Oryctolagus cuniculus: one gene and its partner. The protein of the gene in region 2 interacts with the protein of the main gene of each other region in a pairwise test. Links are inferred from orthologs where the notes say so. Each region holds a gene or a part of one and is shown on either strand. Other genes may lie near its edges. The genes, in order: CETN3 and SGSM1.

What was found.
Region 1: the proteins of SGSM1 (region 2) and CETN3 interact in binary tests that used the Homo sapiens proteins (3 or more experiments, as listed by UniProt). The two-hybrid records come from large-scale screens. The link is inferred for Oryctolagus cuniculus from reciprocal best matches to the Homo sapiens genes SGSM1 and CETN3.

Annotation. Positions count from the first base shown.
Region 1 is NC_091445.1:13,136,554-13,143,566, forward strand, and holds the start of CETN3 (centrin-3), read right to left. Parts: upstream 3,896-7,013; 5' UTR 3,753-3,895; coding exon 3,736-3,752; intron 1,205-3,735; coding exon 1,069-1,204; intron 1-1,068. UniProt on the Homo sapiens protein: Plays a fundamental role in microtubule-organizing center structure and function. As a component of the TREX-2 complex, involved in the export of mRNAs to the cytoplasm through the nuclear pores.
Region 2 is NC_091452.1:19,078,505-19,084,984, reverse strand, and holds part of SGSM1 (small G protein signaling modulator 1), read right to left. Parts: intron 4,749-6,480; coding exon 4,586-4,748; intron 1,765-4,585; coding exon 1,612-1,764; intron 1-1,611. UniProt on the Homo sapiens protein: Interacts with numerous Rab family members, functioning as Rab effector for some, and as GTPase activator for others. Promotes GTP hydrolysis by RAB34 and RAB36.

The DNA of each region.
Region 1 (7,013 bases), on a different chromosome or scaffold from region 2:
GAGAGAGAGGGACAGGCAGATCTTTCATCCTGGGTTCATTCCCCAGATGGTCACAGTGACCAGGGCTGGGCTAGGCCAGGAGCCTGGAATTCCATCTATGTCTCCCATATAGGTGCAGGGTCCCAAGTACTCGGGCCACCTTCCACTGTTTTCCCAAGTGTCTTAGCAAGGAGCTAAATCAGAAGTAGAGCAGCTAGCTGGGACTCCAACTGGCACACATGTAAGATGCTGGTGTCTCACCACAACTAATTTTAAGCCTTGAATTTGACATCTTTCTCCATTAGCACGTGTTCAACATCAAACAACTTATTATGCATGCACTACAGAAAGTAGGTTGAGATTGTGTTACTAACATGTTTAAATTAAAAGCTTAAAAACCCACTCTCCCAGTATGAAAAAAAAAAGCATGAGTTACCAAAATCTAAATAAAACCAACAGGAAGAATGATAATGATAAGAGCTGCTTAAATTCCATAGCTTCCAATCCATTACTTTTGTGAATGAAAAATAACCATCTTTCATAGGAATGTATTTTTACATTTAAAATATCATTCACTTTACCATGCAAAAACGTTTTCATACAACTGCATTAGGGGTTCTGTTTTACTATAGCACCTAACTACGAATGCTTAAAAAGATTTCATAGTTCCAAAACCAGTTCAGTTACAATAATTATATAGAAATGTATTTTGGCCGGCACCGCGGCTCAATAGGCTAATCCTCCACCTGCGGCGCCGGCACACGGGGTTCTAGTCCTGATCGCTCCTCTTCCGGTCCAGCTCTCTGCTATGGCCCAGGAGGGCAGTGGAGGATGGCCCAAGTCCTTGGACCCTGCACCCCATGGGAGACCAGGATAAGCAAATGGCTCCTGCCATCGGATCAGCGCGGTGCGCCGGCCGCAGCGGCCATTGGGGGGTGAACCAAAGGAAAAGGAAGACCTTTCTCTCTGTCTCTGTCTCTCACTGTCCACTCTGCCTGTCAAAAAAATAAAATAAATAAAATAAATGTATTTTAAAGCTGTCAAAAATGCAAATCACTTTAACAGATAAATATATACTTTATACTTTACCTTTAGTTCATGATAATCTATTGCATCATCTTTGTCTGTATCAAAAAGTTCAAAGGCATCTTTAATTTCTTGTTTCTGTTCCTCAGAGAGCTCTCTTCTTTTTTTTCTCTTTGTTTTGTCTACTACAAGCTCACTTCTATAAAATGGAAACAAAAAAGTCATTAGTCCACTCTAATCGTATTCTCTTATGCAAACTAAACAATCAACAACTTTCTAAATTTCCAAAAAGGAAATATGTTGAAGAAAGATAAAGTATTTTTTCTGTATGAGTTGACATCCTGCTTGTTCCATAGTCCACAGTTCTATGAATGTACACTTCCCAGTATGAAGCCGAAACTCTGACAGAAATGGGGAACAAGGGCCACTGTCACAATGCAATGGATTAAGCCACCACCTGCCACACTGGCATCGCACATGAGTGCCAGTTCAGGTCCCAGCTGCTTCACTTCCAATCAGCTCTCTGCTAATGCACCTGGGAAGGCAGACAACTATGGCATGGCTCAAGTGGTTGGTTCAATCACCCAAATGGGAGACCTGAATGGAGTTCTTGGCTACTAGCTTCAGCCTGGCCCAGCCTCAGCCATAGCGGCCATTCAGAGATGGAAGATTTCTCTGACTTTGTCTCTGTCACTCTTTCATATACGTTTCAAAAAAAGGGGGGGGGGGGGGAACCAAACCTTCCCTCCTCCCAACTCAGAAACAAGAATGGTCAGAGGAGGCTGGCACTATGGCGCAGTAGGTTAATCCTCCACCTGTGGTGCGAACATCCCTTATGGGCACTGGTTCTAGTCCCAGCTGCTCCTCTTCCAATCCAGCTCTCTGCTGTGGCCTGGGAAAGCAGTAAAAGATGGCCCAAGTCCTTGGGCCCCTGTACCCACATGGGAGACCAGGAAGAAGCACCAGACTCCTGGCTTCAGATCAGCACAGCTCCAGCCGTTGCGGCCACTGGGGAGTGAACCAACAGACGGAAGATCTTTGTCTCTCCTTCTCACTGTCTATAATTCTACCTCTCAAATAAATAAATAAAAAACCTTAAAAAAAAAGAATGGTCAGAAATATTACTTTCAGACCAAAAACCTCAATCAAAACCAAATCAACACTTATATCATTCTGCAAAAGTGGAAAAAAATCCAAATCAAAGTAGAATTCATAATTGACAATCAACATAAATATTTATTATACTTCAGTATATTTCTTGTAATTAAGTTTTCAAGATTACTACAAAAAAGTGCCAAATAATTTATCAATTAACCTATATTTTGGCATTGTAAGTTCAAAACTATTTTGGATCACATCTAGGTACTTTGTTTGTAGTTTCTTCCATCAATATTAACATGTCAGCCAACAAAGCAGTGAGTCTAAATATATCATGAATGTTAAAAGATCAAAAAGTGGTATGTAGCATTTGTGCTTACTTCCAAAAAATGTGAAAATTCTTGTCTCATTTAACTTATAAACTATAGGTCAAACTTCTCATAACTCTGGAAAAGAGTAAAGAAAATGAAAAGCAAAATTATTTGGAAGTTAGGAATGTCTTCCATCTGAGACAGATGTAGAAGTGCTTCAGAGTTTCAAATGAGAACACCAATTCTGTAAGAACACGTTTTAAAAATTCTAAATGTAAAACCAGTTGATTGTCTCATAACAGATCATCTTATTTGCATGTGAAAGCCATGGGGGGGGGCGGGCAGCATCGTGGCCCAGCAGGTAGGGCTGCCTCTCAGGTCCAAGGAACACAAACCCTGAGTCCCAGCTGCTCCCCGGGAAGGCAGCGGAAGATGGCCCCAAAGCTTGAGCCCCTGCCACCCAGGAGGGTGGCATGTTCAGGTGAACTGCCATGTTCAGGGCTCCTGGCTCCCCCCTGTGCCAACCCCAACCATGGACGCCCTTTGAGGACTGAACCAGCGGATCCAAGATCTCTTTCCCTGTCTCTTTCTGTCACTCACTCTGCCTTTCAAATAAATAAATCTTTAAAAAAAAAAAAAAAACAAACAAACAAAAAACTTATTTTGGTTTCTGAAATCTTAAGGGGGAAAAAAAGGCAATAGGGATGGCTACCAAATGACAGCAGGTGCAGTACGTCAGAGCTGAGGAAGACCTTCCCCAAGAGACCCGAGTGGACACACACCTGGGCACAGCCGGGGTCAGCCATTCCCCTGCCCGGACTGCCCGCGGGCAAGTCCGGACCCCGCCCACACCTGACCGCAGCCAGGGCCACCCGTGGCGGAACACAGTCTCTGAGCACCTGCCTTCAAGGCTATCTGACACGGGGGGTGGGGTGGGGCACAGACCGAGGGCTAGGGTCGGGACAGAAGACACCGACTCCGGGCGGGTCTCCGATTCGGCGGGGCCGGGGGCACACGGGCGAGCGACTCCGTGGGCAGCGGTGCGGGGGCCAGGTGGGCGGGGTCGCAGCACCGCACGCCCGCGGCCCACCCCCCTAGGCCGAAAGCCCCGTGCGCGGCCACAGGCGACCACCTCGGCAGCGAGCGCCGGGCCGGTCACCTGCAGGGCTCTGCACTCCCGGGGGGCTGGGGGCTGGCAGGCCGGCGAGCCCCCTCCTCACCTCGGCCCCAACGGCCTCCCTTCCACACCCACACACGCACGCGAGCACGCCCGGGGCCCGCTCCGCGGCGTGGGGAGCGCGGCCGCCTCACGACTACCGACCTCAGAGCTAAACTCATTTTCCTCCCCGGACAGACACGTTCCTCTCAGAGACTTTATGCCCTGGCCCGAAGCAGCAGGACTCCCACAAGCCGTTCAACAGACGCGAACGGCCGCTGCCACCACCAGCCCCGCCCAGAAGACAGACACTTCTGAGCGGGATTGGTCGAAACCCGCTAAGGTTGTGCCCCGCTCGGCACTACGCCCTATTTTCATTGGATGGCTTTAGCGTCAGTCAAAGGAGCGTTTGTGCCCGCCTCTCCCGTGCCCTCCGGCCCCTTAGATTGGCCAGCTGCTTTTTCCCCGAATCCTTTGCGGGCCGGCGTGTGGACAGCTCCCAGGTAGGGAATGGCGGGGAGGAGACCGGTGCAGGTGCTCTCAGAGACGTGAGCTTAATTTTTGCGGCCAACCCAACCCTCAGCATCCTACGCAGGCTCACTTGCGACCGAGTTTATGCACGTCATTCATTGTGTCCCCAGTGGCTGGCTGCAGTTGATGTTCCTTTGGGTCCTAGATGTTAGCAAAACGTTTGGTGTCCTCTTAACGACACAGTTCGCTATCATTAAATAGAGTGTGTTTATGAAGAATTCAACATATAAATCTATTAAATAATCATAATGCTAGATAACCGAGATGATCTCAAGGACAAAATATCCCTTACTCATTCTAAGATACATATTAATAAAGCAGGTATGGACAGTGCTTTTTTTTTTTTTTTTTTTTTTTTTTTTACCATGCTGAATAACACACTTAGAATGGAACATTAGGGTTTCTCAACCTTGATCCCCGGAACACTAGAGTTTTGTGAGATGCTTATGGTCATTTCATAGAGAATGACACTGTGGACAAGTAATTTGGGAAAATGTGTTTTTACTTGTTAAGGTCAAATGTCGTCAGTGCCATACCCTGTTAAGGGAATGATAGGGAAGTCACACGCATCACTTCTCTTCACATTTAAGCCGTGGAAACTAGTGACATGGCCACTACTTGCTTGCTGTAAGGGAGGCTGAGAAGAGCTCTCTAGTTTGGATGCCATGTTCCCTGATAAAACATGAGGTCATACCATCTGTTACTAAACATAAAATGGGATTAGCAAGTCTGCCACAGAAACCATTAAAATGGTTATCAATATTATCCTTGAAATTCTCATGAATGATGCAATAAAACAAGGGGAAGAAGTGCCACATGAAATTAACATTGTGTATGAATTATATAACACCTGGAAAATCCAAGAATACCAAAGAAGCTATTGGAATTGATAAAAAGAATTCAGTAAGTAGCTGATCATCACATTTGAGAGAACAATGATTATAAGATATAATAATAGCAAAATGGATTTCACAGAAATAATTTGCACAGGAAATCTATAGAATCAGATATGGACTGCTTCTAAAAGTTGAGATGACCTCTGGCCAACAGCTAGAAAGGAAATGGGGCGGGGGGGCAGCACTGTGGTGAAGTGGGTTAAAGCCTTGGCCTGAAGCGCCGACATCCCATATGGGCACCGGTTGAAGTCCCGGCTGCCCCTCTCCCAGTCCAGCTCTCTGCTACGGCCTGGGAAAGCAGTAGAAGATGGCCCAAATCCTTGGGCCCCTGCACCCACATGGGAGACCGGAAGAAGATCCTGGCTCCTGGCTTCGGATCAGCACAGCTTCGGCTGTTGAGGTCATCTGGGGAATGAACCATCGGATGGAAGACCCTTCTTTCTGTCTCTACCTCTCTCTGTAACTCTGTCTTCAAATAAATAAAAGAAATCTTAAAAAAAAAAAAAAAAAAAAAAACATAGTATGCAAGTGTTGTTTTAAGGCACTAAAATTATAGTAATTAGTTATAGCAATGATAGAAAATTAATACACCTCCTAAATCAATGAAAAAAGAAAAATGAGAGATTTAAAATAAATTGATGGAGTAGGCCTAGAGGGAAGAAAAGCTGAATGGATTCCAACCAATAGACAGAAATGGATAAAGAGAACTTAAATATGTTCAGTGAGTTGATAAAGAAATATTTCTTCACTGTAAAAGAAAAACTAATGTAACTAGAAATTCTTTTTAAAAATAAAGGTTAGTAAGAATACCATGGCTTTAAAATGACATAAACTAAAATAATGCATTATCAGGCTGTAGTCAGTGCTATAGCCCACCCGCCTTCCTGTCTTCAGAACCAAAGAACCTATTCCCCCAGCTTCCAGAAATTTGGGCAGCTGAAAACACCCAGCTCAGTTCCTCCTGGTAAATTGCCCTTTCCCAAAAGTAGGTGCCTTCAGCCAGATTACAAAGTCTCCCTGGAGGCAGAATTTATCCAAAGACAGGCCAATATGAAAGGGAAGAGCCTGGCTTCCTGGCCTCAATCCAGGTGAACTCTGAGGGGAAGGGCTTCTCCAACATCATGGCGCCCTGTAGAGCTGGCTGAGGCCTCTGCTTTGACTGCATCACAGCGCCCCTGTTCCCTCTGCCCAGTTCTGCCTCTGTCAGTCCCCACAGGTCTTGTTTCTGAGACGCTGCCCCAGTAAACCCCAGTTATGCAGATCTCACAGTCACTTCCTTAAAGAACTCAACCTAAGACATAGTTAATACAATATATTTTTTAAAAACAGGAAACAAAAAAAAAAAGCAAGACAAATGTATTGTCTCAGCACAGTTATACAGCCCAATGTTTTTAAAAGTAAAATAGAAAATTTATTTTTAAAGAACATGAGTGGAGGCAGGTGCTGTGGCGTAACGGGTAAAGGAAGAGGAGCAGCTGGGACTAGAACTGGCACTGACCCCAACCACCACCATTTCTCATACTACCTATCTTTCAGCACTCTTCCTTTGCTATAGTATATCTTTAGCAAATTCAGAAATGGTATAGGAAAGGTGAACTGACTGCGGTCCCTGTGTTTTCACAGTCGAAATGAAAAGAGGAGAAGGTGGCTACTGTCCTTCTGTACTAAATTTAGTATACCTTGTTCACGAATTCTGTTAATGCAAAATTAAAGAAATTCTATTGGACAACACTCAGTCCACTTGGAAATTAAAGTGAGACTTTCATATTTTGAATCAAAATATATTTAACTTAAAGGTTCACTATATGGCTGGCGCCGCAGCTCACTAGGCTAATCCTCCACCTACAGCACCAGTACCCCGGGGTTCTAGTCCCGGTTGGGGCACCGAATTCTGTCCCGGTTGCTCTCTGCTGTGGCCCAGGAAGGCAGTGGAGGATGGCCCAAGTCCTTGGGCCCTGCACCCCAATGGGAGACCAGGAAGAAGCACCTGGCTCCTGGCTTCAGATCAGCGCAGTA
Region 2 (6,480 bases):
CTATCCACCTTCCCCACCAGATACCTAACCAATGGGGTTGGCTGACCTTGGACTTGACCCTCCAAAACTTTGAGCTAAATAAACTTTTTCTCTTTATAAAGTTAGTAGCCTCAGGCATCTCACTGTAGTAACAAATAAGCTACCAATACACAATGTACTAGAAGGGACAAGGCTCACTGGAGAGCTAGTTAACAAAACTTGGATTTCTTTTCTTTTTTCTTCTACCTCCAAGACTTTGCACTTGCTGTCCCCTCCACTGGGAACTCTCCTGTCCCCATCTTGTTCACCTGCCTGATCCCTCATGCCCTTCAAAGTGACACCTTCCAGGTACTCCCCCTGGCCACCTGGAGGAGTCCAGACACTACCACATGGCCCTTGCGACACCCATTACATACAACACCCATTATCACAATCGGTATTTGACAGTTTTCTTGCTGGAACATGAGCTTGGTGGGAGAGGGACTTTGTGCCTTCATACATATTTGCCAACCACAGGGCAATATGTTAAATAATTCTTCCACGTGTGTGCGAAGATAAACAAGCACTTTTTATACTGAAAGATGGGGGGATTCTCAGGTAGTTCTTTCTGTCTCTGCTTCTCTCGGGCTAGAGGCGTCTCAGATCACAGATTCTTCTGTGGCTCCCCACTGCTCTCATGGTAACACTGCTGCAGCTCCTTAGTGTGACAGCCATCACCACTGTATCCTCAACACCCAGGTGAGGTAGGGAACACAGCAGGTTGTCATGAAGTATTTTTTGGATGGGTGAATGCAGGAACAGATGCTTAGCCGAGAAGATTCAAACTCTTAAACCCTCACATCAGATTAAGCTGAGCAAAAGGAAAAAACTTCTCTGCGCTTTAACTTGCTGCATTCTCACAAAATTCCCTTCTCATTTCTCCTCTGGAATGGCATTGATTCCTGTCTCATTTGCCAAAAGAGATACAGACTTAGTGATTTTCCAAGGACCACAGAATTATTGCGTAGTTTAATCCATGGGGGGGAGGAAGAAATTCAATATATGTATATCCCTTCCTAAGAATGAAGACCTTACACTGCTATGAAACACCTGCATCTGCCCAAACTTCTACAGAAGACTGGCTTGGGGTCAAACATCCAGGAGGCATTTTAAAAATCATGGTCAGGGGCCGGTGTTGTGGCATAGAGGGCTGAGCCTCCACCTGCAGCGCCAGCATCCCATATGGGCGTTGGTTCGAGTCCTGGCTGCTCCACTTCTGATCCAGCTCTCTGCTATGGCCTGGGAAAGCAGTAGAAGATGGTCCAAGTCCTTGGGCCCCCCTTGGGTCCCCCGTGTGGGAGACCTGGAAGAAACTCCAGGCTCCTGGCTTCAGATCGGCATAGCTTCAGCCGTTGCAGCCAACTGGGGAGTGAACCAGCAGATGGAAGACCTCTCTCTCTCTCTGCCTCTCCTTTTCTCTGTGTGTAACTCTGACTTTCAAATAAATAAATATATCTTTTTTTAAAAAATGGTCTAACTTAAGTGTGCGTCAAGGAGAAAAAGAACAGGCAACTTTGTGCAGGAAGGTGCAATTCCCAGGAGGCCAGCAGGTGGCAGCAGAGCACCCCCCCAGGTCTGGCCTGCCCTTCTCACCTGCTGTTTTCCACCAGGTAATGCACAATTTTGTCCAGGACCTTCTCAAACAAGGCCGTGCGGATCCACAGGTGCTTGATGGCCAGCGGGGACAAGTTGGGCAGCTTCGGCAGCTTCCGCACGTTCTCCTGGAGGCCCTGGATCTGGTTTCGTCTTCAAGATCAACAAAGGAGAAGAGACACTCACAAAAACAGCCCACAGGGTCAGCGTGCAGATGGGACACGTCCAGTCTCTCGGGAAGCGAAGGACTGGCAACGTAAACAGGGGCCCACACTGCTGCTAGCAAATGGGTTACGTGGGTGTGAAGACGTGGTTAAACAGACACTCAGATACTGTGGGTGGCCCAGCCAGACTGGCACACTAATATCTCCCCCTCGCCTTCCCCCATAGCTCCATACCCTCCCCAGCTGGAGCTCCTCCAGTGGCTCCATGACCATGCTCCACTCACCTCCCCAGCATTTCCTGACCCCTAGCCCCACGTACCCCATGACCTGCCCAGAGACGTCTGCGGAGCCCTGAGGCTCTCACCTGCAGCCTTCCCACGGCTGGTGTTTCTTCCTCCTTTCCCACCCCATCCCTGGGCTGACCCCTTGCTCAGCGTGGGTGGCCCAGCCCTGTGGACAGCCCTCCCAGGCCAGCCAAAGCTGATTCCTGCTCCCTCCACCTGTGGAGACCAAGTGAAACTCCTGCTGAGTGTCTACCAGGTGGCGAGCATGGACCCTCCTCCTGTCTGCGTCTCCAGGGCCTGCACAGGGCCTGCCGTACGGACAAGGCTCAGTGTGTATGTTCATGAACAAGTGCTGGGGCAAGTGTGTGAGTGGTTCTCCCTCACCACCTGGCACAAGCAGCTCTAATTCCTCCATCAGGAAGACTCTCCCCTGTATTATGGAAGTCCATGCTTTAAGAAGACACCTGCAGGGGCCGGCGCTGTGGCGCAGTGGGTTAATCCTCTGCCTGTGGCACCAGCATCCCATATGGGGCCTGGTTATAGTCCTGGCTGCTCCTCTTCCAATCCAGCTCTCTGCTATGGCCTGGGAAAGCAGTGGAAGACGGCCCAAGTGCTTGGGCCCCTGCACCGCGTGGGAGACCCAGAGGAAGCTCCTGGCTCCTGGCTTCGGATTGGCACAGCTCGAGCCATGGCAGTCATTTGCGGAGTGAACCAGTGGAGAGAAGACCTTTCTCTCTGTCTGTCTCTCCCTCTCACTGTCTGTAACTCTATTTCTCAAATAAATAAATAAAATCTTTTTTTTTAAAAAGACACCTGCAAATCCTTGGGAATTTAGCCAATGCACTGGAAGACATCTGAAGACCAGGCGGCTGAGAGGTTGTTCCCCACGGGAGCTGGCAGAGCCAAATCCCAAGCTCTACAGTTCTGGCCAGCAGCCCTGGGGCAGGCAGGTCCTGCGGGCAGGGAAAGGGCTGTTTCTCACACAGCGAAGTAGGAACATCACCCATTGCAGAGACGGCAAACACAGGGCTCGCCTGTCTCTTTCCTTCCCCTGCCCATGACAGACATGACCAATCAATCCACGAGGTTCCTCAGGATGCACAGGCACAGTCTCTGGGCAGCCTCTCGCACCAGCTGAAGTGGAAAGCAACCTGCCATCCCCACCCTGGCCCCGGGTTGGGGGTTTGGCTGTCCAGTCGGGACCCTGGGGCTGGCTCTGGCTGTAGACGCCTGCTCGTCGACTCAGTCCATGAGCCTCCCCAACCAGCCGCCAAGGCGAGCAAGCGGAATCACCCCTGCCCCTCAGTGGGCGCCCCAGAGTGAGACTGAGCCAGAGGCCCCAGCTTCTGGTCCATGCAGAAGAGACCATCTTGCATTTACCACAGGCCGTGGTCACTACTTCTTGGGCCTCTACCAGGTGCCCAATGCTGTCCAGGTGCTGGGCACCTAATGGGGGAATACCGCAATGTGGCTGCCAGCTCACGTGGAGTTCATGGCCAAGGGGGCAGTGGGGCCTCGGCCAAGTAAACAATGAAGTGAGTGGCTGATTACAGACGGTGACGGTCCCTGGAGGAAAACAAACAGTGTGGCACCCCAGGGGAGATGGGGCAGGTGTGGGGCACAGCTGGTGAAGCTACCATGTGCAACACTGCATCTCACACTTAAGTGCCACTTACAGTCCTGGATGTTCTGCTTCTATTTTAATGATTTATTTATTTGAAAGCGTTAGACAGAGAGGAAGAGAGAGAGAGAGGTCTTCCATCCAATGGTTCACTCCCCAAATAGCTGCGATGGCTGGTGCTGGAGGTGTACCAGGCCAAAGCCAGGAGCCAGGAGTTTCATCTGGGTCTCCCATGTGAGTGCAGGAGCCCAAACACTTGAGCCATCCTCCACTGCTTTCCCAGGTGCATTAGCAGGGAGCTGGATCGGAAGTGGAGCAGCCGAGACACAAACCAGTGCCCATATGGGATGCCAGTGTCACTGGTGGCAGCTTAACCATGATGGTGGTCCCACTATTCCACTTCTGACCCAGCTTTCTGCCAGTGTCCCCAGGGTGCAGCAGGTGATGGCTCAAGCACTTGGGCCACTGCTACCTACATGGGAGACCAGGATGGAGTTCTTGGCTCATGATTTTGACAGGTGGATGTAAGATGTGTGTGTGTGTGTGTGTGTGTGTGTGTTAGAGAGAGAGAGAGAGAGAGTTTGTATGTGTGTATATCTCCTTCTGTCACTCTATTTTAAAAAAAATTAAATCTTTTTTAAAAAGAAGGAGAGAAGTTGGAGTAAGGGTTGGAATTCTCTGGCCATGGGAGGTCTGAATGGTGACGAGGAACCAGGAATCGGTGACCAGGACGGCCTGGAGGTGGCCACAGCATGTGCAAAGGCCCTGAGGCGGGAGAGAGTCTGCTGGGTTTCAGGAGCAGAAAGGAGAGTGCCAGGAGGCTCAAGCTCTTGCCGAGCCCGGAGAGGGAAGTGCACTGTCGCCGGGGGGACCGCCCCAGCCTGCACCCCCCACGCCACACTCACGCATTCTCAATCAGCTGCTCCAGGTCCTGCACCTTGCGGCTCAGCTCCTCGGCCGGCGGGAAGCTCCTGCCCACCTTCATGAACAGCGCCGCGATCTTGTTGCTGCGCAGGAAGCCGGCCGCCCGCCGCCGCAGCCCGTGCAGCACACAGGCCTCCACGGCCGCTGCGGGGATGAGGGACCCGGCGGTCAGGGGCTCCGCCCCACCCCCAGGAGCCCCTGCACCGTGTCAGACAGGAAGCACCCTGGAGAGTGGGGACCCCTAGAGTCACAGGACAGCACGGTAGGGAAAAGCACGGACGGTGGCTGTCATTTCTGTCGGAGAGCGAGGGGAGACAGGGCCGCGTGACGGCTGGGCTTCATCACATCATCACTAAAGCTGCTCCTTATGGGGCGGGCTGACACTTAGGGATCCCACTCACTCTCTGCCCTGGCAGGGAACAAAGGAACGTTATCCCCGTCTATCAGACGTGAAGACTGAGGCTCAGCAAGCAAAACTGCGTTTCCCAGGGCCACCCAACCAATGAGTGATGGAGCCAGGACTCAAACTCAGTTCTGAGCCCACATCGTGCCACAACGTCCGTGCTCCTAAAAAGGACTTTTAAAGGGAACACTTTGTCCTAATTTTCCCATTCCTGGTCTCCCTCTGGAGGTTTTGCCCAGCGCTTTTCAGAGAGAGACGTGGACTCTCTCCCTAAGTCACCAATGAGTTTCCCTCGCTGGGCGCCAGCGCGCTCTCCTGAGATGTCTGGCCCCGAGGGAACCATTTCTTACTTCCGGCACTTTCAACAGCCCTGTCTCTTCTTGGTTGTGGTCGTACGCAGCAGACCCGGAGCTCACATTCATACAGCTGTGCGCAGAATCAATGCTTCAGGAAAAGTGAGCGTTTAACAAGAGCTACTCTGTCTTGGGCACCTGCTGGTGTCACGTAACTGCTACCATCTGCCTGGTCTAATGCCCCCTGACAAAAGCCAGAGAGTGAGAGATCTGGCTCTCAGTCAGTGGCCCTTCACAGAACAGCGAGCTCCTGGGGCCAAGGGCTAGGCCAAGGTCATGCCTCAGGTGGGGAGGAAGACTGAAAAGTCTGGAGTCAACTGCTTGTCTTCTCTGAGTTAGCAACAGTTTGGTTTTGAGCCGATGTCTAGATATTGCCAGATCTGCCCGTGGGTTTACAATATTCTGGGTGGGGCTCTCTTACATTTAATACCCAGTGCTTCTCATTTGTTTATATGGAAATGAGTGACTCTGTTCTTCAGGTTTGTGGACGCCGTTCAATGCTTTTCATCAATGGCTCGCAAGGAGCAACAGATAAGAGAGAGCTGCAGGCAATTCTCCAGGCTTCATTCACTGTGGTCAGATTTCTCCCAGCCCAAAGCCATCACCAGAGTGACACAATTACTATCACCTCTTATCACTGTCTATTCGCCTCAGACTTCAAGGGGCAGGTATGCTAGCAAGTCCTGACATGGACATACGTATTATTTTATTTGCAAATAGAAATGTCTAGAAAAACATTTAAATGTTGGAAACATGTAATTCCACGTACATATGTCATACCTAAACATCCATGTGTGTGTATGCACATACACATTGGTATATGCATATATTATATATAAAACACTTGGAACAACTTCGTGGAAAAATGGAATTAAAAGACAAGTTTATTTTGGATTTAAGAAATGCTGAAATCCATGCAGTTTTTTCACAGGACATACTTTTCATCTACTTTTTGAAGACCCCTCCTTTGCATGGATCTCAGTGTTTCTTGCACCACAAATAACTTATTTTTTAAGTCCATTCCCCAAGAACTTTTTAAAGGTTTAAATAAACACATCTCACTTTTGAAAAATCCCACAAGGATGTGGCAGAGGTGGGATTTGAACCCAGGTCTGCTTGG